7 linked regions of the Macaca mulatta genome follow. The protein of the gene in region 5 interacts with the protein of the main gene of each other region in a pairwise test. Links are inferred from orthologs where the notes say so. Each region holds a gene or a part of one and is shown on either strand. Other genes may lie near its edges. The genes, in order: CUL3, SHQ1, XAGE3, APOL6, GMCL1, FOXR1 and KAT5.

What was found.
Region 1: the proteins of GMCL1 (region 5) and CUL3 interact in binary tests that used the Homo sapiens proteins (3 or more experiments, as listed by UniProt). The two-hybrid records come from large-scale screens. The link is inferred for Macaca mulatta from reciprocal best matches to the Homo sapiens genes GMCL1 and CUL3.
Region 2: the proteins of GMCL1 (region 5) and SHQ1 interact in binary tests that used the Homo sapiens proteins (3 or more experiments, as listed by UniProt). The two-hybrid records come from large-scale screens. The link is inferred for Macaca mulatta from reciprocal best matches to the Homo sapiens genes GMCL1 and SHQ1.
Region 3: the proteins of GMCL1 (region 5) and XAGE3 interact in binary tests that used the Homo sapiens proteins (3 or more experiments, as listed by UniProt). The two-hybrid records come from large-scale screens. The link is inferred for Macaca mulatta from reciprocal best matches to the Homo sapiens genes GMCL1 and XAGE3.
Region 4: the proteins of GMCL1 (region 5) and APOL6 interact in binary tests that used the Homo sapiens proteins (3 or more experiments, as listed by UniProt). The two-hybrid records come from large-scale screens. The link is inferred for Macaca mulatta from reciprocal best matches to the Homo sapiens genes GMCL1 and APOL6.
Region 6: the proteins of GMCL1 (region 5) and FOXR1 interact in binary tests that used the Homo sapiens proteins (3 or more experiments, as listed by UniProt). The two-hybrid records come from large-scale screens. The link is inferred for Macaca mulatta from reciprocal best matches to the Homo sapiens genes GMCL1 and FOXR1.
Region 7: the proteins of GMCL1 (region 5) and KAT5 interact in binary tests that used the Homo sapiens proteins (3 or more experiments, as listed by UniProt). The two-hybrid records come from large-scale screens. The link is inferred for Macaca mulatta from reciprocal best matches to the Homo sapiens genes GMCL1 and KAT5.

The regions. Positions count from the first base shown.
Region 1 is NC_133417.1:129,758,902-129,762,721, reverse strand, and holds part of CUL3 (cullin-3), read left to right. Parts: intron 1-1,005; coding exon 1,006-1,234; intron 1,235-3,820. UniProt on the Homo sapiens protein: Core component of multiple cullin-RING-based BCR (BTB-CUL3-RBX1) E3 ubiquitin-protein ligase complexes which mediate the ubiquitination and subsequent proteasomal degradation of target proteins.
Region 2 is NC_133407.1:136,238,734-136,242,553, reverse strand, and holds the end of SHQ1 (protein SHQ1 homolog), read left to right. Parts: intron 1-1,946; coding exon 1,947-2,499; 3' UTR 2,500-3,491; downstream 3,492-3,820. UniProt on the Homo sapiens protein: Required for the quantitative accumulation of H/ACA ribonucleoproteins (RNPs), including telomerase, probably through the stabilization of DKC1, from the time of its synthesis until its association with NOP10, NHP2, and NAF1 at the nascent H/ACA RNA.
Region 3 is NC_133426.1:52,729,763-52,734,169, forward strand, and holds the start of XAGE3 (X antigen family member 3), read right to left. Parts: upstream 2,838-4,407; 5' UTR 2,760-2,837; intron 2,054-2,759; exon of another isoform or gene 2,002-2,053; intron 1,894-2,001; 5' UTR 1,886-1,893; coding exon 1,805-1,885; intron 967-1,804; coding exon 861-966; intron 1-860.
Region 4 is NC_133415.1:15,895,148-15,899,737, reverse strand, and holds the start of APOL6 (apolipoprotein L6), read left to right. Parts: upstream 1-1,740; 5' UTR 1,741-1,917; intron 1,918-2,474; exon of another isoform or gene 2,475-2,760; intron 2,761-4,590. UniProt on the Homo sapiens protein: May affect the movement of lipids in the cytoplasm or allow the binding of lipids to organelles.
Region 5 is NC_133418.1:54,908,306-54,912,125, reverse strand, and holds part of GMCL1 (germ cell-less protein-like 1), read left to right. Parts: intron 1-977; coding exon 978-1,090; intron 1,091-1,971; coding exon 1,972-2,037; intron 2,038-3,820. UniProt on the Homo sapiens protein: Possible function in spermatogenesis. Enhances the degradation of MDM2 and increases the amount of p53 probably by modulating the nucleocytoplasmic transport.
Region 6 is NC_133419.1:119,658,901-119,663,172, forward strand, and holds the start of FOXR1 (forkhead box protein R1), read left to right. Parts: upstream 1-1,237; 5' UTR 1,238-1,377; coding exon 1,378-1,438; intron 1,439-4,272. UniProt on the Homo sapiens protein: Transcription factor which acts as both an activator and a repressor.
Region 7 is NC_133419.1:8,673,539-8,677,338, forward strand, and holds the end of KAT5 (histone acetyltransferase KAT5), read right to left. Parts: intron 3,642-3,800; coding exon 3,501-3,641; intron 3,420-3,500; coding exon 3,326-3,419; intron 2,677-3,325; exon of another isoform or gene 1,708-2,676; coding exon 1,548-1,707; exon of another isoform or gene 1,419-1,547; coding exon 1,337-1,418; exon of another isoform or gene 1,243-1,336; coding exon 1,108-1,242; 3' UTR 695-1,107; downstream 1-694. Other genes in the region: RNASEH2C (ribonuclease H2 subunit C), read left to right, coding at 1-60, 138-257, 494-520. UniProt on the Homo sapiens protein: Catalytic subunit of the NuA4 histone acetyltransferase complex, a multiprotein complex involved in transcriptional activation of select genes principally by acetylation of nucleosomal histones H2A and H4.

The sequences.
Region 1 (3,820 bases), on a different chromosome or scaffold from region 5:
TTGTAATGAAATGATGATAATAATAACTGAGTACCAGTAAGCATAAGATAGTATTTGTAAGGTAACTGTAACCAGGCATTTTTCCTGAATACCATAACTATCTGAGCATAACATAACGTAGCATAACATAACATTCCATAACAGTAGGAATTTTGTAGTGTTGCCAAAACAGATGTATTAGTAAGAAGCTAAAATGTTGGCCGGGCGCGGTGGCTCACGCCTGTAACCCCAGCACTTTGGGAGGCCGAGGCGGGCAGATCACAATGTCAGGAGATCAAGACCATCCTGGCTAACACGGTGAAACCCCATCTCTACTAAAAATACAAAAAATTAGCGGGGCGTGGTGGCAGGCACCTGTAGTCCCAGCTACTCGGGAGGCTAAGGCCGAAGAATGCCGAGGCGGAGCTTGCAGTGAGCTGAGATCGCGCCACTGCACTCAAGCCTGGGTGGCAGAGCAAGACTCCTCCACCTCAAAATAAATAAATAAATAAATAAAAAGATTATTAGTTATTTAAAAACTCTTTTTCTCAAACGTTAGTGTATATGTTTACTCCGTTGAGACTGGGAGTGGGATGGCAGGAAGACTTTAGTAACCAGCAGTATGCCAGCAAAGCGTATGATAAACATGATGAATCTTTCTGGTTATAATTTTGCATTCAGACAAATCTAAAAAGAACATCCCACTCTATCTTGGAGTCAGATGCTTCTATATTTTTGACCCTCGCTGGCATATATATTTACTTTTTTGGCTATTTTTTGGAGTGCATTGGCACAGTTTGAAAAACATTGTTTACAGGAAATGTTTTAATTTAGTATTATGTAAACACCAAAGGCTTTAAAGGATATAATTCAGACTATATCAATCTTTGTAATGAGAGATTACACAAAATCCTATTAGTACTTATTTTACTTAGGTTGATTTATTATAAACACTATAGAAACCCCAGCTAAGAGCAAAAACACCTTTTTCTTCTATATTAAAAAAATTACATTTTTAAATTGCAGATGGAAAGCCAGAAATTTTTAGCAGAAAATAGTGCTTCAGTATATATAAAGAAAGTAGAAGCTAGAATTAATGAAGAGATAGAACGAGTGATGCACTGCCTTGACAAATCAACGGAAGAACCAATTGTGAAGGTAGTTGAGAGGGAACTCATTTCCAAGCACATGAAGACTATAGTAGAAATGGAGAATTCTGGGCTAGTACATATGTTGAAAAATGGAAAGACAGAAGGTAAGTGTTACCGATTGAAAAATAATTAAATCCTTATTCTGCCTTATCGATATTTTTAAAACTTTCCTACATTTAAAGCAGGTATCAGTTTTCAAGAAGTTGTGTATATTGTTAATTTGTCTCCGCTGTTAACCTGGGTGGGATTTCCAAGCTTGATACTGTCTTACCAATGAAGATTTTAGATATTTCTAATGAATTGAGCATTTCCTGTCTTTAAGTCTCATTTTATGTTTTTCTTAATCCAGAAGATAAAAAGTGTAACAGTAGGTGAGCCCAATGAGCTCCTCATTCATTCCTGTACTTGTCGTATACCAAAGGATGTGGGCTGTCTTTATTCCTACATACTCTTGGGGTTTTGTGATTCTCTTAAAATCTTAAATTTCCACCTTAGATTTTTGTAGACTTTCCTTTGGGATTTAGTTGTGATAGGGTGCCAAAAATGCAAAAATATTTATGTCTTCCATATTGATACACTTAGATAAATTAGATTGGTTTGGGGAACACTGAAGTTACAGAATGGAAAAGGAGGAAGGAGGAGTGCATAAAAGTAGAAAACACTATTGAGATAACTAACATTTATTTTTTGTAGCTATTTATCTTTATTTCCCTGGGGTAAAAAAAAAATTGTGACAAGTATCCTAGAAGAAATTACAAGTTAAAAGAACAATAACCATATCTTCTATTCTTAGTTTCTGATGCTTTGATTTAAAACTTTGCCTTTATCAGTGATATGGTATTAGAAAATAAAAAAACATGGTCCCTTGTTCTCCTGCTTCGTAGATGAAATCTGAGCGATATTTTATCCACTTCTTTTTAGTAAAAGAAATACATATTGCCTCTTGGGGTCATGAGCTATGTAGGGAATGAAAAAAAGTTTTTTAACAGAGAATTATGAAGAGCAGGAGGATACAAGAGAAGGGAAAAAGAAAGCTGGTGGGAAGTTGAGCCACGTTTCTCTCTAGTGGAATCCTTACCTTGTGTTTTAAAATTGTTAAATTTTTGTATATATGATAAATCCCTGAAAAGTGATACATAATTTAAAAAAAAAAAAAAAAACTAGAGAGACTTCCTTTTTAAAAGACTATTCTGTTAAACCTTTTTTTGTAAAAGCAAAAAAAAAAAAAAAAAAAAAAAACAAGTCATCTAGTATGTTTGCCGTGTTTGCTAAAATTAAGGTCTAAGTCTGGGGTTGGCAAGCCTTTTTTGTTCTTGTTGAATAAAATGGCTTGTGAGCCATGCAGTCATAGTGAGAAAATAGTCATAGACAATAACAAATGAATAAGCCTGTGTTTCTATAAGACTTTATTTATGGGCCCTGAAACTTAAATTTCATATAATTTTTATGCGTCACTAAATAGTATCCTTTACAGTTTTTCCTCAGCGATTAAAAATGTGAAAACCATCCTTAGTTCATGAGCTGTATGTACATAAATAGGTGGCAGGCTTATTTGCCCCACGGGTTCTAATTTGATGACCCTTCTCTAAATGGTCTCTGGTAGACTAGGACTTCATGCAAAGCATTTGCCCTGCTTAAACAAAATGAGTATCGATAAATTATGTAATGTACTGTTTAGGTATTGAGTGAATGCTTTCTTACCTACCTTAGGGGCATGTAGGGAGGGATGATTAAATGGGCTGGAGATGAGGGGCTAGGAAATGTTTGATGGAGAGGTTGTTGGGCATACCTGAATTACAGCATCTCTGTAACTTGTGTGGAGATATATGTAAAAGGTGTCAGGTGTGCCTATCATTGCAGGCACTTAACGTGAATGAAGGAATATCATAATAGTACTCACCAGAGTTCTCCTTTATTTAGTACCTTAGGTTTCCAACAACACAGTAGCTATCTGTGATTCTAAATTAAATTTTAAAATCCTGTTTTTGTCCGGGCAGTGTGGCAAACGCCTGTAATCTCAGTACTTTTGGGAGGCTGAAGTGGGTGGATCGCTTGAGCTCAGGAGTTCAAATTGGTGATACCCTGTCTCTATGAAAAACACAAAAATTAGCTGGGCGTGATGGCACATGCCTATAGTTCCAGACACTTGGGAGGCTGAGGTGAGAGGATCATTTGAATCCGGCCAGGGAGGTCAAGGCTGCAGTGAGCCAAGATCATGCCACTGCACTCCAGCCTGGGTTGCAGAGGGAGATGCTGTCTTAAGAAAAAAAGGGGGAACTGTTGTCTTTAATTTTTCTGAGCTTCCACTAGAAACCTAGTGGCAAAAGATCTTAATTGTGGTAGACCCCGCTCTTGGAAAAAAGTTGCTCTTGTTGAGAACATATCAGAGGCAACTTCACCATTATGAAGCCAAATTCTCATAAATCAGAAAACGAAAAACAGTTTTCTCACTGTGAATGGAGGATAAATTGGATTGTTATTAGATGCAGATAGCGTTATGAAATTAAGTTCAAATGGTATCTTTTTTTTTGAGATGGAGTCTTGCTCTGTCACCCAGGCTGGACTGCAGTGGCGCGATCTCAGCTCATTGCAAGCTCTGCCTCCCGGGTTCATGCCATTTTCCTGCCTCAGCCTCCCGAGTAGCTGGTACTGCAAGCGCCTGCCACCACGCCCGGCTAATTTTTTGTATT
Region 2 (3,820 bases), on a different chromosome or scaffold from region 5:
TAATATTATAAATCTAGCAAGTAATTTAGAGGAAAAGAATCTTCGGCTGGGCGCAGTGGCTCACACCTGTAATCCCAGCACTTTGGGAGGCCGAGGCTGGTGGATCACGAGGTCAGGAGATCAAGACCATCTTGGCTAACATGGTGAAACCCTGTCTCTACTAAAAATACAAAAAAATTAGCTGGGCTTGGTGGTACGTACCTGTAGTCCCAGCTATTCGGGAGGCTGAGGCAGGAGAATTGCTTGAACCCGGGAGGTGGAGGTTGCAGTGAGCCGAAATCGCGCCACTGTACTCCAGCCTGGCGACAGAGTGAGACTCTGTCTCAAAAAAATCTTCTGAAATAATATGAAATGGTTTAAGAAAAAGTACTCCATGCTGCTGATATTGCTTTTCCTCCTTGTACATTTTAAGATTGTGAACATTTATACATTTATATAGGTTTAAAAATAAAACAATGGCAGTGAAAAGGCTCCATCACACCATCATCCTGTGTCATCCCCCATATTTCCAGTTCCCATCCTATCTCCTTTACATAAGTTACTGTTTTCTGTCACTTTGGAGAGTTTATTGAGAAGTATACAAGCAAATAGAAACATCTGTTTTGATATCTTTCCTGTTATTTTCCCTTTTTATATATATGTAGCATATACATATGGTGAGCCTTTTGTGGTGTTAAGCAGTAAGTCTGGATTGGCCCATGGAGAGTTTCATTCATTATACAGCTGTAGGCTATTCCTTTGTGTGGATATGCCATAACTTATTTCACCAGTCAACCAGTCTTATAACAAGGACATTTGGTTGTTTCCAATTTTTAGGTATTAAAAAATGATGTCATAGTAAATAACCTCAGACCTATGTTATGTAGTGTGTGTGCTACATGTGTTTAATTTTTAGACATGGGGCTTGCTGGGTCCAGGGTATATACATTTTCCATTTTGAAAGTTATCGCCAAGTTCTCCTTCTTGGGGGTTGTAGCTATTTAATCTCCCTCCATCAGTATATGAAAGTGCCTTTTCTCCTGCAGTCTTGCTAACAGAATAATATCAAATGTTTGGGTATTTGCCAATCTGACATATAAAAAATATATCTCACATATGACTTTAATTTGTATTTCTCTTATTTGACTGGAGTTGAACATCTAATACATTTAAGAGTTACTTATATTTCCTTTTGTGAAAATTGTCTGCTTGTCCATTTTTCTGTTAGGTTGTTATATATCCATTATTAGGAACTCTGTTAGGAGAATTAGGGTTTATTAGTATATATATATATATATATATATATATGCACTTATTATAGATATATTACCCAGAAGGAATAGATTTTTTTCTTTTTCTTTTTGAGACGGAGTCTCGCTATGTTGCCTAGCTGGAGTGCAGTAGTGTGATCTTGGCTCACTACAACCTCCACCTCCTGAGTTCAAGTGATTCTTCTGCCTCAGCCCTCCAAGTAGCTGGGATTACAGGTGACTGCCACTGTGCACGGCTTTTTTTTTGTATTTTTAGTAGAGACAGGGTTTTACCATGTTGGCCAGGCTGGTCTTGAACTCCTGACCTCAGGTGATCCACCCACCTCAGCCTCCCAAAGTGCTGGGATTACAGGCGTGAGCCGCCACGCCTGGCCAAGAAATTGATTTTATTTAGTTGAATTTATCAGTCTTTTCTTTTGTGGCTTCTGAATTTTGAGTCATAGTTAGAAAAGCCTTCCTCCTTCTTAGGGTCATAAAGGAAATCTGTGTTTCCCTGTAATACTTTTAATCGCTTTTTAAAAAATATGTATATCTTGGATCTGTTTTTACATATATATCTTGGATCTGTTATGGTATATATCCTGGTGTGCCATTTAAAATATGGATTCAACTTTATTTTTTTGGAAGCTGCATACCCTGTTATCCTCAGGCCAATTAATAAATAATTCTAATCTTTGTTCTTAAAATGTTTTCAAGATCCAAAAAGTTGGCAGCTCTTGCAGAAGCCTTAAAGGAAGTCTCCCTTACAAAGGCCCAGCTGGGGTTAGAACTGGAAGAACTAGAAGCAGCAGCACTGCTTGTCCAGGAGGAGGAAACTGCATTAAAAGCAGCCCATTCAGTTTCTGGGCAGCAGACACTTTGCTCCAGCTCTGAGGCAAGTGATTCGGAGGACTCAGACAGCACCGTGTCATCTGGAAACGAAGACTCAGACTCAGATTCAGAACAAGATGAACTCAAAGACAGTCCATCTGAGACAGTCAATTCTTTGCAAGGTCCCTTTCTTGAAGAAAGCAGTGCCCTTCTTATTGTTGATGGTGGAGTATGCAAAAACACAGCCATCCAGGAGTCTGATGCCAATCAGGGAAAGCCCCTTGCCTCTTCCCAGCCTCTTGGAGTGTCTGGACCTCTGATAGAGGAGCTTGGGGAACAACTGAAGACCACAGTTCAGGTTTCTGAACCCAAGAGCACCACTGCTGTAAACCACAGCAATATGCAGGAGAGAGACGGCCGTCAGACACCAAATGATTGACTCTTAGGTGGTTTTATTTGTTGTTGAGAAATACGGTAGATTTGGTTTCATTTACCAAATGAGAATTCCTCATTTTCACTTTGTAGTTTTTCTTAGTATATAGACAGCCTGCTGTATTTGTATCCGCATCTGTGGATTCAACCAACTGCAGATCAAAAATATTTAAGAAAAAATTGCATCTGTACCAAACATGGAGACTTTTTTTCTTGTTATTATTCTCTAATACAGTATAACAACTATTTCCACAGCATTTACATTGTATGGGATCATATAAGGAATCTAGTGATGATCTAAAGTGTACGGGAGGATGTGGGTAGGTTATATGCAAATACTGCACCATTTTTTATCAGGGACTTGAGCATCTGATGATTTTGGTATCCTCAGGAGTCCTGGAACCAACCCCCCACAGAAACGGGGACAACTTTATGACTTTTTTTTCAATCAGTGAATGTGTATACCTTTTGTTTTCCTTGCTATCACTGTGAAGATAAAATTCAAAAGTATTTTTACCAAAGTGTAGCTAATATTTCAAGCTGAAAATAATAGTTCTACTGCCAGTGTCTCCAGAATGTAGAGCCCATCAATATTTTTATTTTAGGAAGTGTACTTGACACCCCATAAACTGCACGTATCGAAAGTGTACAGTGTGTTGGCATATGTGTACCCCACATAAAACTGTCACCGCGATTGAAGTGAGGAGCGGACCCATCATCCCCAAGTGCTCTTGGGCCCCCTTATTAGTTTGCATGTCCTAGAATTCTATGTAAATTGAATCATACAATATGTATCCCTTTTTTGGTCAGGCTTATTTTACTCGGTCTAGTTATTTTGAGATTCATCCATGTGGCAGCATGTGTCAAGAGTTTTTGTGTTTTTCATTGCTGAGTACTACTTCATTGAATAGATCTGTTCATTGACCTATCGATGGACGCCTCGGTTGTTTCCATTTTGGGGCTGTTATAAATAAAGCTGTTATGAACATTTGTATACAAGTCTTCATGTGGACGTATGCTTTCATTTCTCTTAGGCAAATACCTGAGGGCGGAATGACCGAGCCATATGGTAGGTATGTGTTTAGTGTTTTAAGAAAACGCTGAACTGTTATGCAGCATGGCTGTACCATTTTACATTCCCACCAAAAGTGATAGTTTATGAGAGTTCCAATCTATGAGAGTTCCAGCCTATGAGAGTTCCAATCTTGCACATGCTTGTTACTGATATGGTGAGTCTTTTAAACTTTTACCATTTTTATAGATGTGTAGTGGTGTTTCATTGTGGAAGTGTCTGTTCAAATCTTTTGCCTCTGTGTGTGTGTATATGT
Region 3 (4,407 bases), on a different chromosome or scaffold from region 5:
CTCCATGAGTCAAGTGTTCTTGGTAAGCCTCCATTTCAGAGCCTCAGTTTTCTTCTTTACAAAATAGGGCTAACATCCTTATACAAATGGGCTTTATTCAGGGTGTTACAAGGTAGGGTGACTTGGCATTCTACATGCTATTAAAGGGTGCATACAATACTGTGGACCCCTCGGCTAAGAAGATCAGACAACATTCTAAGAAGATCAAAGTAAACTAGTGAAATAATGTACATTTTTGTACATCAAATTAAACAGTTTCATCTGATTTAGCAAGGACTGTATTTTCAAGCATACAATATATATATATATATGTGTGTGTGTATATATATATATATATATATATATATATTTTTTTTTTTTTGAGATGGAGTCTTGCTCTGTCACCCAGGCTGGAGTGCAGTGGCCGGATCTCAGCTCACTGCAAGCTCCGCCTCCCGGGTTCACGCCATTCTCCTGCCTCAGCCTCCCAAGTAGCTGGGACTATAGGCACCCGCCACCTCACCCAGCTAGTTTTTTGTATTTTTTAGTAGAGACGGGGTTTCACCGTGTTAGCCAGGATGGTCTCGATCTCCTGATCTCGTGATCCGCCCGTCTTGGCCTCCCAAAGTGCTGGGATTACAGGCTTGAGCCACCGCGCCCGGCCCAAAATATATTTTAAAGGTAGGAGAAGATTCATTATATCCAGGGACTCTATGAAGCTGCAAACTATACTCTTCACTTGTCCAGCCAACTCTCAGCAAATGTTTGAGATCCTTTCCCAATGTTTTCTTTCCTCCTGTTACTGGTCATGGCATAAGGCATGATGCACACATAGGCCTCCTTCCCTCCCCATAGACATTCTTTCTTTCCCCTCCCAGTACCTTGAATCTCAGCTGCACCCTGATCTTCTTCTCTCTCCTGACCAGGTGTAGAATCCTGACTTTCGGTTAGTGGTTCCGCTTGCTGAGGCTCCGCATCACTGGGCTCCTGGAACGAGGGGTGTGTGTGTGTGTGTGTGTGTGCAGATAAAAAGTTTTGTTATCAATACATTTCAATAATATAAACATACAGAATACATAGATGTTTCTGATCATAAGTCTAAAGACATTTCTCCAACACTATTCCACATACTTATTTTTCATAAAGTTACTCTTCCCACAGAGAGGTTACTCTAAGACAGTTGCCCTCAAGGGCTTTGGAAGCTGTTTTAATCTATGTTAGGATGAATGTGTGTAATCTTTTGCAAATAAGCATGAGAAGGAAATCATGGGCAAAATCTGGGGAACACAAGATCATCCACCCAGACAACAGGAGAACTTACTCCTCTTGGATTCGTCTTTCCTTCATGAGATGCCATGAATTTTTTTTTTTTTTTTTTTTTTTTTTTTGTAGACGGAGTCTCCCTCTGTCGCCCAGGCTGGAGTGCAGTGGCCGGATCTCAGCTCACTGCAAGCTCTGCCTCCTCGGTTCACGCCATTCTCCTGCCTCAGCCTCGCAAGTAGCTGGGTTTACAGGCGCCCGCCACCTCGCCCGGCTAATTTTTTTTTTTTTTTTGTATTTTTAGTAGAGACGGGATTTCACCGTGTTAGCCAGGGTGGTCTCGATCTCCTGACCTCGTGATCTGCCCGTCTCGGCCTCCCAAAGTGCTGGGATTACAGGCTTGAGCCACCGCGCCAGGCCCCCATGATAATTTCTATCAGCATGGGACACCTTTATTGGTGTATCTATATTGGTTCAACAACAATTACAAAACAGTTTTGCAACAACAACAAGTTACAAAAATAACTTTCTGCTAATAGAAAACATCAAAGGTTAAGGCACTCACCTGCATAGGCCCAATCAGCTCAGGAGGTGGTACACTTCTCCTTGGTCTAGGCCTATATGTTGATCTTCCTCGCCAAATCATATTTCACACTGCAAGCAGAATACTGTGAATTGGTAAATGTACTTGAAAAGACAGCTATATTTGACCACTTCCATGACCAAATGTTAACTTGTCGTTTTTTAAAAGTTTGTAAATACTTTCGAACTAAGTCTCAGGGCAAGTGTAAGTGTGTGTGCCTTATGAATGCTTGCGAAGCCATTAAGTTGGTCAAGCTAACTGAGCAATTTCTTAAGGCTCCTGGCAAAAGACACAGGATATTTCCGATAAGGTTTGGTTTCACAACTTAACTCTCCTCTGTGGAGACATTTGGGAAAATACAGCCAGAGAATTAAAACTGCAGTAACTACGGCTTTTGTCACACACCCATTTGCTAGGCCCATTTCCCCCCTAAAATCAAGTTTTGTTGGAACGCAGAGCCCCACCAACTCAAACCTCCACGGTGGAGTTGAGAAGCTGCCACACAGCGCTGGGCCCTCCTCACTGTACACCTCTGCCAGGCGCTCTACAGACCTCAGGGCCATGGTCGCCAACCCGCAGCGTTCCCAGTTCCCTTCCTTAATGCCCACCCTGCTCCTTCCCGGGTCGACACAAAGGAGCCTGGAATCTGTCCTCGGTCGAGGGTTCCAGGGACTCGGATACCTGCCCCAGCACCCCCAGCACTCGCCCCATTTTCACCTGACCCCTCTCAACTGTGCGGCCCACCTTCTTCCCTCATTCTGACCTCACTACAACAAGGCCCACGGCAGTGCCACCTCACGAGCAGAAGGACGAGCACCTTGAGACCCTTCGACCTCTGAGGCCGTGGACCACGCTGTCCCACGCTCCAGATAGCCACTGGCTCCTCCTCACACTCACTCACACTTCAACTCTTGGGAGGAATGGCTTGTGGACCTACCGGCTGCGTCTCAGTAGGACAGAAAAAGTCCAGACAGCAGGAACGCGACCCTCACACTCTCACAGCTCCAGGGCGTTCACCACATGGGCAAAGGTGCAGAGGGGAAGACGCCCAGTGGACATGCGCAGTGAGGAAGGTGCCTGCCTAGTGGGCTGTGGCGCCCCTCCTCGCCCCACCCCATCCCGCGCCGCGCAGTCCTCTGCCCTCTCCCAGGTTCCCACTGAAGACTTCGGAATGTGTCTTCTGTGGGCGGTTTCATATGCCTCCGGGACTCAAATACCACAAATAGTTTCCCCCTTCAAAGCTCACTCCATGTTCACTAGGTCCTCCTCCCCTCTATGGCCCTCCTTCCTCCCCTGTCTGGGACACCCACGATACCAAGGCCATGGCTGTGTCGCCGCCTGTTAGGAGAAGAATGGCAACCTCAAGGACCTTCCCCAATCGGAGGACATAGACTGCGCCGCGGGCTCCTCCTCACACTCTCTCCCACTTCCACCCTGGGAGGACTGATCTTCGGACCTACCGGCTGACTCCTAGTCAGCAGCACAGAAGGAAGTCACGATGTCTCCTTGCACAGCTCTGCAGGGACACAAGGCAGACAGCAAGGCACATGGACAACAAGGGACTTGGGCAGCAAGGGGTGTGCATACTGAGTCAAGCACATGCAAGGCCAGCCGGGGTTTTCTCACTGTCCCCAGACTCACATCCCTAAGATGTTTGTAGTAGAAGGAAAGGGACTAAGAGGCTTTGTTCCCTCTCTTGCCCTACAATTCTTATGCATCCAGAAACACTGGGGACAGTCCCATGTCACCATGAGTGGAGGATGTGTCTCAGAAAGACCTTTTGTGACAAATAAATTATTTATATATATATACACGCTTTTTTTTATTTATATATGCACGGGTGCCTGCCATGTTGCAGGAAATATCTGGGATGCTGGAAATGTGAAGACCAAGGAGCCACACGTGGTATGTCCCATGGAGGCCACCACACTGTAGTGGGGCAGACAGACAGTTAAACAGAAGAGCAGTTGAACTGCAAAGGAGAAACATGGGGAACGGACCCACGGTAGTAAAGAACAATGAATGTAGTGGCCAAGAAGCAAGGGGGAAAACAACACAGTTTCTCAGGAAGATAATATTTCTCCATTGCCTTTGCACCTTTTTTGAAAATAAGTTTATCATGTCTGTGAACCTATTTCCGGACTCCATTCTGGTCTGTTGATTTTTCCCCAGTACCACGTTCTGGTTACTATAGAATTAACATGACTCTTGATATTAGGTAGTGTGAGTTCCCCAAAGTTATAGTTCAGAATCGTTTTGGCTGTTCTGGTTCATTTTCCTTTCTATATAATTTTGAAAAATGACTCCAATGAAGTGGGTTGTATAAGTTCACGCAGTTTCACTTTGAAGGGCAGCAGATAAATATGTTAGTAGCTATAGAAGGACATGGGGGAAGGAGGTAAGTTCCCCCCTTAGGTTGGGGAATGATCCCATTTAGAAGGAGCAGTTGGTGGTTCAGGAGACAGAATGATCATTGCAGGAGCAAAGCCCCTGAGAAAGTGGGAGGTATGGGATCCTGAGCTGAGGTGGGGGGCTGGCTTCAGTTAGGAGCAATTGTATGCAGAAGGGCGGCAGAGAATGAATGC
Region 4 (4,590 bases), on a different chromosome or scaffold from region 5:
ACTTTTGTTCATCTGACCTATAGGGTGGATGTTTTCTGTTCCCTTACATAAGCAGCACTTCCCTGCATTTGGCTACAGAACATTTTTCTCACACAGCATCTCTTGGGGCGATCGTTTCACAAGAGCCCTGGTGGTAAACACTGCCCCTCATCCAATGGCCGGTCTGGCCCCTGAGACTCCCAGGACCGAGCAGTGACCACAACATCTGGGTCTGTTGCCAGGGAAAACAGCAGGCAGGCCTGGGATGGCTCAGCGACCCCAGCCAGGCAGCCAAGTCCGCTTCAAGGTCACGCTGTGTTTAGAGTGTTCTCCAAGTGTGGGAGGCCACAGCAGGGCTGGCTTGTGGAATCTGGGATGCCAGGGTTGGAAAGGCCCCTACAGGACCCAACTCAGCAGCGCTTAACCCCTCATTCCTGCTCGTAGGGCCCAGTGACAGGAGGTGGCCTCCATCGTCGCAAAGGCAGGACTGGCTAGGTGGGCCACGCCTTCTGCAAAGCAACAGCACCCAGTGTGGCCTCAGCTAGGGGTGGTGACTGGGGATTTCTGCAAACCACGTGACTTCTGATCACAACGTGACAGAAATGTTAGAGAGACACAGATCTCAGCCCGTAACCACACTGTGGGCTCATTCTTGCAGACACAGCGCCTAGGACTGGTTCTTAGCTGTGTAATCACTAACAACCCACAACTTCTAGAAGCCTGAGTTTCCTCTTCCTTAAAGTGGGAGACAGAGTATCACATCCTGTATCTCCAATCCTTGAGGCCAGATGCATGTCAGAGTCCCCAAGTGATTTTTAGAAAGGTAATGGGGTGCAGGTATCACGTACTGTGTAACCCACCCACCCCCAGCAGCCCTCCTCAGTCAAACATATTAATATTTTTACAGTGACAGTGAATATTCAAATTAAGGAAGAGACATAAAAACCATAAGTGAATTCATGCCAGATCAGCTCAGGTTTTGTCACTAAATGAATAAATTATTATTTTTTTTAAGTTTTCGTTTTCAGGCCGGGTGCAGTGGCTCACACCTATAATCCCAGCACTTTGGGAGGCTGAGGTGGGTGGATCACTTGAGGTCAGGAGTTTGAGACCAGCCTGGCCAACATAAAACCCCATCTCTACTAAAAATACAAAAATTAGCCAGGCGTGGTGGCAGGCGCAGGTAATCTCAGCTACTGGGGAGGCTGAGACAGGGGAATAGCTTGAACCCAGGAGGCGGAGGTTGCAGTGAGCCGAGATCGTGCCATTGCACTCCAGCCTGGGCAACAGAGCAAGACTTCATCTCAAAAATAAAATAAAAAATAAAATAAAAAAGTTTCCATTTTCAGAGGATTCTGCATTTCAGAGTTATTAGCCCTTAAATGCCGGCCGTGCACCTCATAGGGCTGTTATCCACATCAAGATGCTGTGGAGGGAAGCAGTTTCAGAACAATCAGTGATGATCGCTACTGTGAATCCACTATTCATCAGGTGCCCCATCGCTTGCTCATGGGCTCCTCACCATAGCTCTAAGCCACAGGAGCTATTTTCATACCCCATATAGGTCCATCCTATAACACAGCCAGGACAGAGACGAGAGACTCAGGCCTTCTGACTTTGATTCTGCTCTTTCATCTCGTTGTGCATGCAGTTAGAGAAACAGGCAAAAAGGAAAATGAAAGTGCACAGCTGGAGCCCATGATTTCCTGGAAGAGCCCGAGAGTTTGGCTTTTTTTTCTCCTGCAGCACTTAACAGAAACCAGTTTTGCAATCAATTCCCGTTCAAAAGCCACCCTACTCTTCCTATCTGTCTTTCTCCAGCCCAGACGCTCACAGCCTCCTGCAGGACCGGGGGCCTCGGAGAGTCAAGGACAGAGGTTCAGGATCTTCCTCTCCCTCGGGACCCGAGGCCACAAAGGAGAGCTCCGTGGAGAGAAGGTGAGATGGCAGGCAGAAGTTGGGGGAGAAGGGGGCTGCTGCTCTAGTCCCTGAAGGACAAAGCCCCCAAGGGGTTAGCTTTAGGCACCTGACTTAGGAAAAAGAGCTGCTGTCCAAGCAGCGGGGTTCAAATGCCAGCCAGAGCGTGGGGAGAGTCTGAGGATCAATTTCTCCTATGTTAAACCCGGTAGGTTTCTGTCCCTTACAGCCATTTGAGGGTTAAATCAAAACGTGATAAAGCATGTGATGTGACTAGCCAAGCTGCATTTGCCCCTCCACTGCTGGGGATCCAAGGGCTTAAGCAGAGGTGATCTGGCACTTAGAAAGCAGGTGATTTCAGCTGGGCGCGGTGGCTCACGCCTGTAATCCCAGCACTTTGGGAGGCCGAGGCGGGCGGATCACGAGGTCAGGAGATCGAGACCATCCTGGCTAACACGGTGAAATCCTGTCTCTACTAAAAATACAAAAAATTAACCAGGCGTGGTGGCGGGCGCCTGTAGTCCCAGCTACTCGGGAGGCTGAGGCAGGAGAATGGCGGAGCTTGCAGTGAGCCGAGATCGCGCCACTGCTCTCTAGCCTGGACGACAGAGCAAAAAAAAAAAAAAAAAAGAAAGCAGGTGATTACATCAGCCGCCACAGGGGTTTCTCTAGAAATTCAGTATAGGAGTGGTTTAGGGGTGTCATTTCACAAGAAAAAGGGTGCTGGGTGAGTTGTCCGGAAACTGCAAAGCCAACCTACCGAGTTTTCTAGATTGTAGGTTTATGTGAAGTTGTTTAGGAAGAGGGTGAGGGAGTTTGTGATAAATATTAGGGTGACTAGGCCAGGCGCAGTGGCTCATGCCTGTAATCCCAGCACTTTGGGAGGCTAAGGCAAGTGTCTTGTTTGAGCCCAAGAGTTTGAGACCAGCGTGGGCAACATAGTGAGATCCTGTCTCTAAAAAAGTCAAAAATTAGCTGGGCGTGATGGTGCACACCTGTAGTCCCAGCTACTGGGTGGATGGGGGGTGCTGAGGTGGAAGGATTACTTGAACCCAGAAAATCAAGAATGCAGTGAGCAGTGATCACACCACTGCACTCCAGCCTGGGCAGCAGAGTGAGACCCTGTCTCCAAAAAAAAAAAAAAAAAAAAATTGGGAGATTATCTTGAAGCTGTGTTTTCAAAGTAAGCAGACTTTTCTTACTTAGATTGTGTATCTGAAGAAGTTGGTTTTGTGGGGGAAGGCAGGTAAGGAAAGACTGTCATAAATATCCTATAAGCTTTAAAATGAAAATAATGTCTCAAATCCTCTCCCAATACAACTCTCATCTCACAACCACCGAGAGCAGGTCAGAGGGGAGGGAATGGGATCTGCTCAGACGAGTTTCCTGCTGTTACCTTTGCCCTGCATCCCATAGAACTAATGTAAAAAAAAATAGGAGAGGTACTGGGGGACTCTGGTGAAAAATGGGGTTCCAGACCAGGGTCTCTCACCCCCGGCACCCTTGTCATGTTTAACCAGGTGATCCCTGGTTGTGGGGGCCGTCCTGTGCATTGTAGGGTGCTTGGCAGCATCCCTGGCGTCTGCCCACTACATACCCTCTCCAGTTGAGACCATCAAAAATGTCTCCAGATATTAGCAACGTCCCTGGGGAGCAAATGTGCCCTGACTGGGACCAACCACTCCAGACTCAGCGTGGCTGGAATCGTACAGGCTCTCCTGCTTACTGTGTAACACTGGCCTCCCTATGTCTCAGTTTGCACATCTGTAAAATGGGCATAATCTTGGCATCGATTTCACAGGGTCACTGTAAAGCAGGTAGATGTATGTCTGGCGAAAGTAAGTCCTTAAAGGTGCCAAGCCCCTCAAATCAAACCAAGCTTCACATACCAGAGAGGGGAGAACGTTTTTATCTTTGACACATTAATTCTTTTTCATAGACTGCCCCAAAGAAATAACCAAACATGTAGACACACATCTATATAAGGATTTTAACCAAAAATTATAAATACAAAATTTAAAAATAACTGAAAACAACCCAAAGTTTCAACAGTGAGAAAGTTACTGAATGTGTAGTGATACATTGGTATAATGAAATGTGACACGGTTTCTATATATCACCTGGGGAACTACTACCATACAATGTTTTGTTTTTTTGTTTTTTTTTTTTGAGACGGAGTCTTGCTCTGTGGCCCAGGCTGGAGTGCAGTGGCCGGATCTCAGCTCACGCAAGCTCCGCCTCCAGGGTTCATGCCATTCTCCTGCTTCAGCCTTCCGAGTAGCTGGGACTACAGGCGCCCACCACCTCGCCCAGCTAGTTTTTTGTATTTTTTCGTACAGACGGGGTTTCACTGTGTTAGCCAGGATGGTCTTGATCTACTGACCTCGTGATCCACCCGTTTCGGCCTCCCAAAGTGCTGGGATTACAGGCTTGAGCCACCGCGCCCAGCCCCAACGATACAATGTTAAGTGACAAGAATTCACACAAGCTACCTGAACAGCATTCATTTAAATTTTGGGTTTGTAAAATAAAATGTCACTAGTTTTTATTTCCATGTGGTGAGTGTACAGGTGGATTTTATAATTTATTTCTAAATTTTCAACCGTAAACTTGTATTCATTTAAACAATTAGAAAATGAATGGCTATAAGAATTTGTGTCCCAGGCTGGGCATGGTGGTTCACTCCTGTAATCC
Region 5 (3,820 bases):
AAGTAGATAGCAGAGAGATTCAGGGATAATCCACTGGACTTGGTGACAGACTAAGTGTTAAGAGGAAAGGGGAGGAGTCTAGAATGATTTCCAGGTAAGTTGAAAATCCTAATGGAGTCAATGTTTTATTTTAATCTTAAAAAATTGTTTAACTTTTGTGTGGTATTTTTGTACTGATTCATTTGAAATATTAGTTAATAGCTTGCTAAATATCCTTGGTTGAGATCATTTGATTTTCAAAATGTTTTGATCCTTTCAATACTTATTTCCAATAAGTATACTTTATTTTCTAACTCTGGTCCTTTTGATTTTGTTCTAAATTCACTTTCTGCGTTACTTTTATGATTTACTAACTCTTTAACTTAATATACCTGCATGATGAATATATTTCAGAAATTTGAACGAAAAATAGTATTCTTTCCATATATTAAAGTTAGTTCGCTTAAAACCTATATAAACATTTTAGGTTAAAACTTTAATGTTCATAATTTAAAATAACAATATACTTGTTTTAGGTGTGTCTCTTAGATATTGTAGTTATTTTAAACTTAATAATTACTTTCTGCTAATGCATACTATTTGTTTAGGCCCATGACATGGTTAACTGACTATGTAGACTTCTTAATTTAAAAAGAAATGGCAAAACAGACAAAATGCTGCTAAAGAAATTTGCAAAGGTCTCAGAGAGGGAAGAATAGAAAAGAAAAAGAATAGCAGTATTCATCTCTACCTGACTGCTCCCCCCACCTTCCATTTTCAAATTCCAAGTATTTAGTTGAATACTTGCTGAATTTTTTTTCAGTATTTTTATTGGACTTGTTTAAAAAAAAACACAAAACTTAGGTTTGCTGCACTTAATGAGTTTTCTTTCTTTTCTTTCTTCTTTTTTTTTTTCCTTTTTAATATGTAAAAGCACATATCAGAGCTAATTTTTCCCACGTGAAATGGGCCTTTCCAGTGCTTATTTATATTTACAGGACGGTTTAATACAGCAGTGTGGTGAGACAATGAAGGAAACAATTAATGTGAAAACTGTATGTGGCTATTACACATCAGCAGGGACCTATGGATTAGATTCTGTAAAGAAAAAGTGAGTTACCTTTCTCATTTTTCTTCCTATCCCACTTTAGGAATTTGGTTGCTTTAGTTTCTTAAGAGAATGTATAGCTATAAGAAGGAAAGAATTAAGGAAAATTAGGATAGGGGAATGGAATTTTGTTAAATAAAAAGCCCATTTTAACTTTTGGACTAATTAGTAAATTCCTCAAAAGTATTGTCTTTGTCAGTGACCATATGGGTTATATATATGCTTATAAAAATCTTGGTCACTCTTGGTCAGGTGTAGTAGCTAACACCTGTAATCCCAGTGATTTGGGAGGCCAAGGCAGAAGGATCACTTAAGCCCAGGAGATCATGACCAGCCTGAGCAACATAGGGAGACCCCATCTCTACAAAAAATTTAAAAAATTAGCCAGGCATGGTGGCATGCACCTGTGGTCCCAGCCATTCTGGAGGCTGAGGTCAGAGGATTCTTTGAGCCCAGGAGGTTCAAGACTGCAGTGAGCTGTGATCATGCCACTGCACTTTATAGTATATTTTCTATTAAAATTGTTTAAGAAGTAGGCCTGATAGACATTATATCATTGCAATGACTGACAGTCCTTCTAACTCTTGAAAGTTGCAGTACCTGTTTTGAGATTTTAAAGGTTATAGTACTATGCAGACCCCTTGATAAACTATTTAACACAAACTCAAAATGAAGTTTTAAAACTAGAAATGCTCTCATTAATATAAAGGAAATATTCTCTTAATAATATCCACTGACAAAAATAATACTAAATTTCCTATTGTTAAGTTAAAAGTTTTGAGCATGTTCTGGCAAGATTAATATTCTGATTTTAACTATAAGTCCTACTTAATAAATTGTAAATACATGGTATATAATGTAATAATTATATGTTTTAATTTCAGGTGCCTTGAATGGCTTCTAAACAATTTGATGACTCACCAGAATGTTGAACTTTTTAAAGAACTCAGGTATTTGAATTTCAAGTAACTTTATAATTAGTCATCCTAAAATATTGTTTATCATTTGTTAAAGTACGTAACATTTTTGTAGAACACAAAAATATGAAAAAGCAAACAATTTAATGAAAGGGCTTGACTACATCCATAAGCTGAAGAAATGCTACACAAACTTATTTCTTTGTTGTGAATAATATAATGGATATTATGTCTACCGTTTTAACCAATTTTAATAGAAAAATGCATTACTGTTATAAGACTATAGAAAAGTTTCAGGTTTTGCCAGACTTTTAGAGAATTTAAAAGGTATATTTTAAAAATCATCTTTATTATTGAGAAATAAGTTTGAAGAAACTGTTTTGGCCTTTTTTTTTTTTTTTAACCTTCAAAAACTTTTCATGTTGATCGGTTTTCTCACTAGAATGAATTCTCTGATGTGGCGTAACAAATGTGTGGCTCCTATAAATGTACATTTTTCCGTCTCTGATTATTTCACTCCTTGAATTCAAATCTGTAATCCCAGCTACTCTGGAGGCTGAGGCAGGAGGATTGCTTGAGCCATGGAGGTCAAGGTTGCAGTGAGCTGTGATTGCGACACTGCACTCCAGCCTCAGTGTGAGTGAGACCCCATTGAGACCAAGTTACCATAGTTCTTCACTGTCACCTCCTGGTACAAGGTCTTCTGAACCAGGTCAAGGTATTCCCACTCCTGATGAGAGAAGTCTATGGCCATGTCCCTGAATGTTACGAATTCGCAGGCCATGGTTTTAGACAATCAAAAGCCAATCAGTCCTCAGGGTTTCTCTACCAGAAAAGCAGATTTAGGAAAACCTAGACCTGTAATCCCAGCACTTTGGGAGGCCAAGTTGGGAGGATTGCTTGAATCTAGGAGTTCGAGATCATCCTGGGCAAGATAGTGACGTCCCCTCTCTTTGAGAAAATAGCAGTCTTCCTTTAAAAAAAACTGTTAGCACCACACAGGGTCCCATGCAGGCTTCAGGCTGGGGCTGCAGAGGCTCCCACAGTCAAATGCACTGCCTTCATCTTCAAGCGGGACCCGGTCGCACACAGCACAGCGCAGAGCCAGAGGTCCTGGAGATGGAGCCAGAGGGCCAAGATTTCTCTGTCACCTGTGGACCATGTAGTCCAAGCTGGAATAATAGGACCGCAGTCACCCATGAGAAATGGATTCCAGGGTTCTAAAAACCTACAAGATATATGGCGGTGACAATGAGGACTGCCCACCACCCAAGCTATATAGCAGTCTTTCTTTATTAAAGAGATGGGGGCCTTGCTATGTTGCCCAGGCTAGACTCAAACTCCTGGGCTCAAGCAGTCCTCCCACCTCAGCCTCCAAGTAGCAGGGATTATAGGCACATACCACTGCACCCAGCTTAGTTTGGCTTTTTGGATTAAGTACGCATATTATCCATTTATTCCTGCAGCAAGTACTTCCTAACTGTTCATTATGTAAAGATACTCTGTTTGTGGCTGTGAAGGATGCAGAGATGATTTTGTCATGGTCTCTTGCTGTCAGGGAACTTATTTATAGTAATGGGACTAAGGTATTTGTGATGGGTCTGAGAAAATCTGGCTAGCAGTGAAGTTTTGAAGGCTGGTTGGCATTACAGTCATTTTCTGGCTTGCATTTACTTGACAGCGGTGCTTTGGAGACAGGGATACAAATGTGCCCAGGAGTAAGTGACTTTCTGATGGAACTGTACAAAACTAAAGTCAAACATTGCATAGCTTCCCGGGATGTGAATTTTACTGATTGTACTGATTTGTTGTTGTT
Region 6 (4,272 bases), on a different chromosome or scaffold from region 5:
TTATCAGAACTTATTATTAATAACATTAGTGTCACTAAAGTTGGTATACAAGCCCCTATTGCTAAATTTGGCTTAAAAAAAAAAAAAAGAAATTGTTCCAGATTAATGGAGAGTAAACAGACACGGATATTGAGTGTATTGCATAGTGCTGAAAGGGATTCTAGGCCAGAAAAAAAATTTATATAAATGACATTGTTGGGACAATTGGTAAAATTTGAATAAGAACCATATATTAAATAAAACATTGAATCAATCTTAAATTTTCTGATTTCTGATTTTCTGGATAAAACAATATCCTTGTTTTTAGGAAATAACAGAAATATTTATAGGTAAAGGGACACGATGTCTGCAAATTACTCTCAAATTGTTAAGCAAAACATAATATATATGTAGTATATATGGAAATAAAAATATAAATGTGATAAAATGTTAATAATTGGTGTAATTGGTGAATCTGGGTGAAAACGTATACAGGAATTTTTTATAGCATTCTTGGGATTTTTCTGCAAATCTGAAATCATTAAAAACAAAATTTTTATTTTAATTTTATTGTCCCCTAGGCTGGAGTGCAGTGGCACCATCTCGGCTCACTGCAACCTCCACCTCCTGGGTTCAAGCGATTCTCCTGCGTCAGCCTCCCTGGTAGCTGGGTTACAGGCTTGAGCCACCACGCACGGCTAATTTTTGTATTTTTAGTAGAAACGGGGTCTCACCATTGGCCAGGCTGGTCTCAAACTTCTGACCTCAGGTGATCCGCCCACCTCGGCCTCCCAAAGGGCTGGATTACAGGCGTGAACCACCGCGTCCGGCCGAAAAACAACAAAAAATTTTTTCATCAAATCACCATCCAATCTAACTCCATCTCCACCATCTACTACAGATGTGATCGTGGATAAGCCATAAACCTTTCATAACTTTTAGAAAGTAACTACAATTATGGTAGAAAGGATCAATGTTAAAGCAAAACTATAAAAATAAATAAATACGATCACGTGACCATGGCGCCTTTTCAATGAAATAAGGGGCTTGGGCAAACGAGGATGCGGAAGATGGTCTGGGGTCCCTTCCGGATCCCCAGGTCCTCGACCCCCAGCATGTAAGGGTAGGGTCAAGGAGGGTCTTCCTAAGCGTTCCTCGGCGCCGTCCTGAGGAGATTAAAGGCGTCAAATGGACCGCTCCACACCTGAGCTGCCGCCAAGCTAACTCAATCGCAGCCGGCGCATTTGAGAAGGCGCCTGTGAAGGTCGCTCCTCAGCCGCCGCGCTCCCACTCCGCGCCGCCGCGCCTCTGCCCGCCCCGAAGGTGGACGTGAAGCTCCAGCACCTCGACTTCTGGGCCAGCCTCCATGGCCAGGTCCCGGGACTGCTGGACTGGGACATGGGGAACGAGCTCTTTCTGGCCTTCACCACATCTCACCTCTCCTTAGCCGAGCAGAAACGTGAGTAGCGGGTGGGGTGAGGTGGGGGCTGGGCGTGGCGGCGGGGTGGCCTAGGGGCTCGCGGGACCCCGGGGCCGGGCGGCTCCCCAGCCTTCGCCCCCGCCTCCCGGGGAGGCTTGCGGGGGCCGAGCCCCCCGGGCTTAGCTCCGCAGCCCCCACTCCACCCCTACTGGCGAACTCCACTCGGGAGTGGTGGGGCGGGGGCGGTTCGCGCCTGACTCTGACTCAATTGGAAGCTCCCCGAGGGCAGCTGGTCTTACCTAAAAACGGAGGCTTTCCACTCTACGTCACCCGCCAGGCTCCCAGAACATTCCAAGGCCTCTTCTGGGTCTTCGTCTTGGCGCTGGTCGCCATTTGCTATACTGTATATTTCAGTTACTTTTCCGTCTCTTAAAAAAACAGGACTCATCGTTTTATCCATGGCTGTATTCTCCCTCTTAACATATTGTCTGACACCTAGAAGTGCTCCGTACTTGCCAAATGCTTGGTTGACCGTTGTGATCTTTTAGGTTTTCTTTTTCTTCTTTGGACCTCAAGTGTGGAGAGTTGAGGTAATTACTCCCCACATTCATGGTACCTTTTTGCCTGCAAGGCCCTTGGATTAACTTTTTTTTTTCTCCAAATTTATTGTTTTTGAGACGGAGTCTTGCTCTGTCTCCCAGGCTAGAGTGTCAGCTCACTGCAGCCTCCGCCTCCCGCATTTAAGCTATTCTCCCGCCTCAGCTTCCTGAGTAGCCTGGATTGCAGGCGTGCGCCACCACGCCCTGTTAGTTTTTTTATTTTTAGCAGAGGCGGAGTTTCACCACGTTGCTCTTGTCGGCCTTCCAGAAGTGCTGGGATTACAGGCCTGAGCCATCGCCCCCGGCCTTAACTCTTCCTTTTGCCCCTTAAGTCTCCACCCCTCCTTCCATTACCTCCGCTACTCCCATAACCAACCCTAATCCATTTAACGTCTGTTTTCTCCACTCATTGTTTTTGAGAGCTGTTGTTTTGCGTTGCTAAATTCAGGCCTGGTTCATTATTTCTGATTGTTGTTACTATTCTATCTGCTGGGTGTCCCACCTTTTACATTTTAATTTTCTTTACACCTAGATTGCTTCCAACTCTTTGCCACCATAATTAATGGTAATGAACATTCTTTCTTGTTTCTTCATTCAAGAAATATGTATTGAGGCCGGGCGCGGTGGCTCACGCCTGTAATCCCTGCACTTTGGGAGGCCGAGGCGGGCGGATCACGAGGTCAGGAGATCGAGACCATCCTGGCTAACACGGTGAAACCCCGTCTCTACTAAAATACAAAAAAAAATTAGCCGGGCGCGGTGGCGGGCGCCTGTAGTCCCAGCTACTCGGGAGGCTGAGGCAGGAGAATGGCGCGAACCCGGGAGGCGGAGCTTGCAGTGAGCCGAGATGGTGCCACTGCACTCCAGCCTGGGCGACAGAGTGAAGACTCCGCCTCAAAAAAAAAAAAAAAAAAAAAAAAAGAAATATGTATTGAGCACCTCCAACTGACCTGGCACTGTTCTAGAAACTCATGATACACAGTGAACAGAACAGACAAGGAACCTTACATTCTACTGGGGGCAGATAGATAATCCACATAAGTATAATAAATGGGTAGACCATATAGTATGCTATAAAGTGATCATCTGCAATGGGGAAAGAACAGGAGGAGACTCAGGAATAGGGGAAGCGTATGGTAGCAGCTACAGTTTGTTTTTGTTTATTTTTGTTTTTTGAGATGGCGCCTGGCCCTGTTGCCCAGGCTGGAGTTCAGTGGTGCAGTCTCGGTTCACCACAACCTCTGCCTCCCGGGTTCAAGGAATTCTGCGTCAGCCTCCTGAGTAGCTGGGACTACAGGCACGTGCCCCCATGCCCGGTTAATTTTTGTATTTTTAGTAGAGATGGGGTTTCACTCTGTTGGCCAGGCTGGTCTCGAACTCCTGACCGTGATCCGCCGTCTCAGCCTCCCAAAGTGCTGGGATTACAGGTGTGAGCCACGGCACCCGGCCTTTTTTTTTTTTTTTTGACATGGAGTCTCACTCTGTCGCCCAGGCTGGAGTACAGTAGCGCAATCTCAGCTCACTGTACCCTCTGCCACCCAGGTTCAAGCAATTCTTGTGCCTCAGCCTCACCAGTAGCTGGGATTACAGGCATGCATCACCATGCCCACCTAATTTTTGTATTTTTAGTAGAGACAGAGTTTCACCATCTTGACCAGGCTGGTCTCAAACTCCTGGCCTCAAGTGATCTGCTTGCCTCGGCCTCCCAAAGTGCTGGGATTACAGGTGTGAGCCACCACGCCCAGCGGCAGCTACAGTTTTAAATAAGATTGTGGGGTTGAACTCAATTAGGAACATAATATTTGAGCAAAGAGTTGATAGGAGGGGAGGAGTGAGCCTAGAGGGTACTTGAAGGGAAAGTGGTAAGGAGGTCAGTAAGGCTGAATGACAGTAAATAAAGAGCTCCGAAGGGTGTGGTTGAGAGCAGGAATGCCTGTCCTCTAAGGACTTTAGGGTTGACTTTGAGTCAGATGAGGGTTGGTTTTAAGGTTTTGTTTGAGATGGGCTCTTGCTCTTGCTCAGGCTGGAGTGCGGTGGCACAATTACCTCCAGGCTCAAGCAGTGCTTCCGCCTCAGTCCCCAAAGTAGCTGCAACCACAGGCACGGGCCACCACACTGGCTAACTTTTTTAGTATTTGTAGAGATGGGGATCTCCCTATGTTGCCCACGCTGGTCTCGAACTCCTGGACTCAAGCAATCCTCCTACTTCCCAAGTTGAGCAGAGGAGTGACTTGCTCTCAGGGTCTGCTTCATGATTGTGTGACCCGTGCAGTT
Region 7 (3,800 bases), on a different chromosome or scaffold from region 5:
GACCCCTTGCGGGATTCCGGGACTGACGACCAAGAAGAGTCGCCGCTGGAACGGGACTTTGTGAGCAAAGGGATAGGGTTGAAAGGGGGTGCGGGCGGGACCTGTAGTCCCGATGCTGAGCCAGGCCCCTTCCTCAGGACCGCTTCATTGGAGCCACTGCCAGCTTCAGCCACTTCACCTTGTGGGGTCTGGAGACCATCCCTGGCCCGGATGCCAAAGTGCGTGGGGCCCTAACTTGGCCCAGTCTTGCGGCAGCGGTGAGTAGATGAGGAGTTCCGTCTTGTCCCCGGGTGGATGGGCTGTGGAGCACAATTGGGCAGACGAAGCCTGGAGGATTCTACTGGGTAGTGCGTGGGAAGCGTAGCTCCCCGACCACTCTTCCTAGCCATGTCTAGAAGGGGTTATTCTGAACAGCTGGGTCCTTCCCCGGGTCTGGGGGCCAGCCTGCCGCCCTGCCTTACAAGTCCAACAGTAGAGGCGACTCCTCTTGCAGATTCACGCACAGGTGCCCGAGGACTGAGAACCAGAGCTTGAAATTCAAAGCTGCGATCCCTTCACAGCAGTAAACCAGCTCTTTGGAACCACTGATTCCATCACCCCAATAAAGGAGCTCTTTACAGCACCTGTGAGTCCGGGCACCTTAGAGCCCCTAAGCCAGCATGGACCCCTCTCCCCCAAGAACCTTGCATGGCTCTGGCATATAGAAACAATTTATTGCCGTGGGCAATGGGGATAAGAGAAGCCAGAATTTTTTGCAGCCAGCACCCACCCCACCCCCAACTTCTACTTTACAAAAGAAATTTTTACAACCACCAGCCCTCTGTACAGAGCTCCCCCACCCCCCATCTCACTGTACACAGCTGCCTGGCTCCCTCTGATCCCTGGTTCAGAGCAGGCCTGGGCCTGTGGCCAGCTGACCTTGGAGTTAGCCTGAGCCCTGAGCTCGCCTTGGTGCCGGGCACCAATGGGCCCTGCCAGGCCTGTCCCCTCCTTTTCGAGCTTTTCAGCCCCATCTCCCTTAGAGTGCTTTGTGGGAGCTGCAGTGAGGGCGGGGTGGGCTATCAGCCCCAGTCCTGCTGTCTTAGCACTGCAGTGGGCAGTGCCTGGTCACCACTTCCCCCTCTTGCTCCAGTCCTTGGGAGTGAAGTGCAGACACTTGGAGTCAATCCGCAGGAGCCGCTTGAGCATAGCCCGCTCATGGCCATCCACGATGTCCTCTGACAGTGTGAGGATGTACTGGCCCTGGGCAGAGGAGATGGGTTCAGCAAGTGGCCAGCGGACAGGGGCCTGCACTCTGCATCCCACACACCTGTCTCCACCCTGCCTGCCTCCCTACCTTGTAGTAGTTGATGAGATTGAGGTACTGCAGAGTGGAGATGACATCCTCCTTCTTGATGCTGGTGATTTCACTGATCTCACTGTAGGAGAGCAAAGGTCAGGTCCCCTGAGGACCTTCATCTGTCCCCAGGAGCCCCAGGAGAGAGTGAGAAAGCCCAGGAACAGACAGGCCATGCCATGTACCCCCAGGTAGGCAGCGCCAGGCTCACTTGATGGTGATCTGTGGCCTCTCCCCGCTCTCTGACTTCAGCCCCATCAGGATCTCCAGGATGGTCTGGGACCAGTAACTTCGATAGGATAGGAGGCCAAGGTCTGAGAGGGGCTTCTCAGGGGTCCCTGTTTTCCCTTCCACTTTGGAGAGTTCATAGCCTAAAGCAATGGAGCAGGAGAGGGTGAGTAAGAGGTCATAGATGAACATAAGCAACATTTAAAAACACAGGTCGCCAAGGCAGGCTGCCTAGTTCCCATCATGGCCCTGCCACTTGGCAGTTCTGTGGCCTCCGCCTCTCTGCGCCTCAGTTCCCTCAGGAAGAACTAACGAGTATTCACTCTTCCCCTGGGAGTTGAGCACAGTGGAGGGCATGAGAGCACTGAGAGGAGCAGCTGCAGTCAACCACGAGGGTGATCAGAGGCCAGTGAAGGCTTATGGGCAGGGGATGCAGGGAAAATGGCTCAGGGGAAGAAAGTGCCTCCAATTTTCCTTTGCCATCCCAGGCTCCATGTCTGGGCATGTAAGGAAGGAAGTGGGGACAGATTCCTGTCTCTAATCCAGGCCTGAGAATGCTTGAATTCTCAGTCAAATCAGTCCTCCTAGCTGGGATCTTGGGAGTGTCAGCTGCTGTTAAGACCTGAGTGGCCTGACTGGGTGGTTGTGAGGATGCAAGGAGAAAAGGTGCACCAAAGTGCTTCCCAAGTTGGGGAGACCATTCCTGAGAGCCAGGTGACTGACCCCCACCATGGCTGTTTCCCTCCAACTCCTGCTGATAGCTGCGCACTGGGAGGCAGTCCCCAGTGAGATCCTGGCCCTGCACAGCCCTGAGTGGCTTCACATCTCTTGGGCAGTGTCTTCATTCTCCCCACCAGGGACCTGGGATGTTTGTGACTTCTAGAAGCCCTTCCTCACCCTCACAATGGACCTTAGCCCCTTGGTAGTCCCACCCACATCCCATCTCCATTGCAGTCTGAGCTCCAAGACTGAGTTTCTTCAAGCATCCACTTGTGCTACCAGGCTGAGAAGTTCTGAGGATGTGACCCCATCTGGGCATCACTTAACCAATACATTTCTCGAATGGACCATAACCTTGATCAAGTAAAGCCTCTGTGTCTTCACCAGGCAAACAGCTAGAACTTCCTCTTCTTTTCTCAGGTCAGAGCTTAGTTATTCCAAGTGAGTGGTGAGATAGAATGCGGGGTGATGGGGAAGAGGCTGAGAAGGAGAAGGAGCCTCAGGGTTGGGGAGGGCACTGAAGAGCTCATGTGTGATGAAGGTCAGAGTCCCTTCTGGCTTTAAGAGACTGACCTCACTGGACACGAGGAGCAAGGGAGAATTCCATGCTTACGTGTATCTGTTGACAGCATTTTGGACACCTGCCTGCACGGCTCAGGCGACAACTGGGGACATTAACCACTGGTCCTTGCCCAAGGACTTGTATCATGTGACACCGGTTACCAGATACATGAGCACCAGCGGCTCACTAACCTGCCCATGGCTCCAGGCAGGAGCATGTAAGTCAGATTTGGGGAAAGCTGAGTGGCACTTAGAACCCTGGCCAAGGAGCAAACTGTGGGGCTGAGAACCTACCCCAGATAAGCAGGGCAGTCAGCCTGAATGGAGAGAACTCTGGGAGAGTGCCACTGTTATTTCTGGCTGGCTCCCCTAGAGACCGGGCTGCACAGCCACGGTTGAGAATCACGGTAGCCTGGCACATCTGCCTATGGGGCACCGATGATGGGTGCACTACCCCCTGGCTGCAGCACACATACTCACTGAACTCGATCAGCAGCTTGCCGTAGCCCCGGCGCTGGTAGGGAGGCAGGGTTAGGATGCAGGCCACATTGTAGTCTTCTGTCGATTCTTTCTCCTGGAAAAGGGGGGCAGGTGAGTGTCAGGGAAGGGACCTGGCTCAGGATAGGGCACAGGGACAGCCTGGACAGGCACTGACCTTGGAGAAGTAGCCCACGATGTGGAAGCCCTTACAGTCATACTCCGTCATGACGTAGAAGAGGAAAGGGTCTGTGTCATAGTACAGTGTCTTATGGTCAAGGAAACACTTGGCCAAAAGACACAGGTTCTGGGAATAACTCTGCAAGAGAAAAGGCTTGTCACCATTCTGGGTATCCTGCCTTGAGCCTGGCCAGTGGTTCAGGGTCAACCAGGAGCTTCACTGTTTGTGCTATGCCCCAGACTGATAGGTGATGAGTATTCTTCCCTGGCTGGGCCTGACCCACTCCACTAGCCCGCA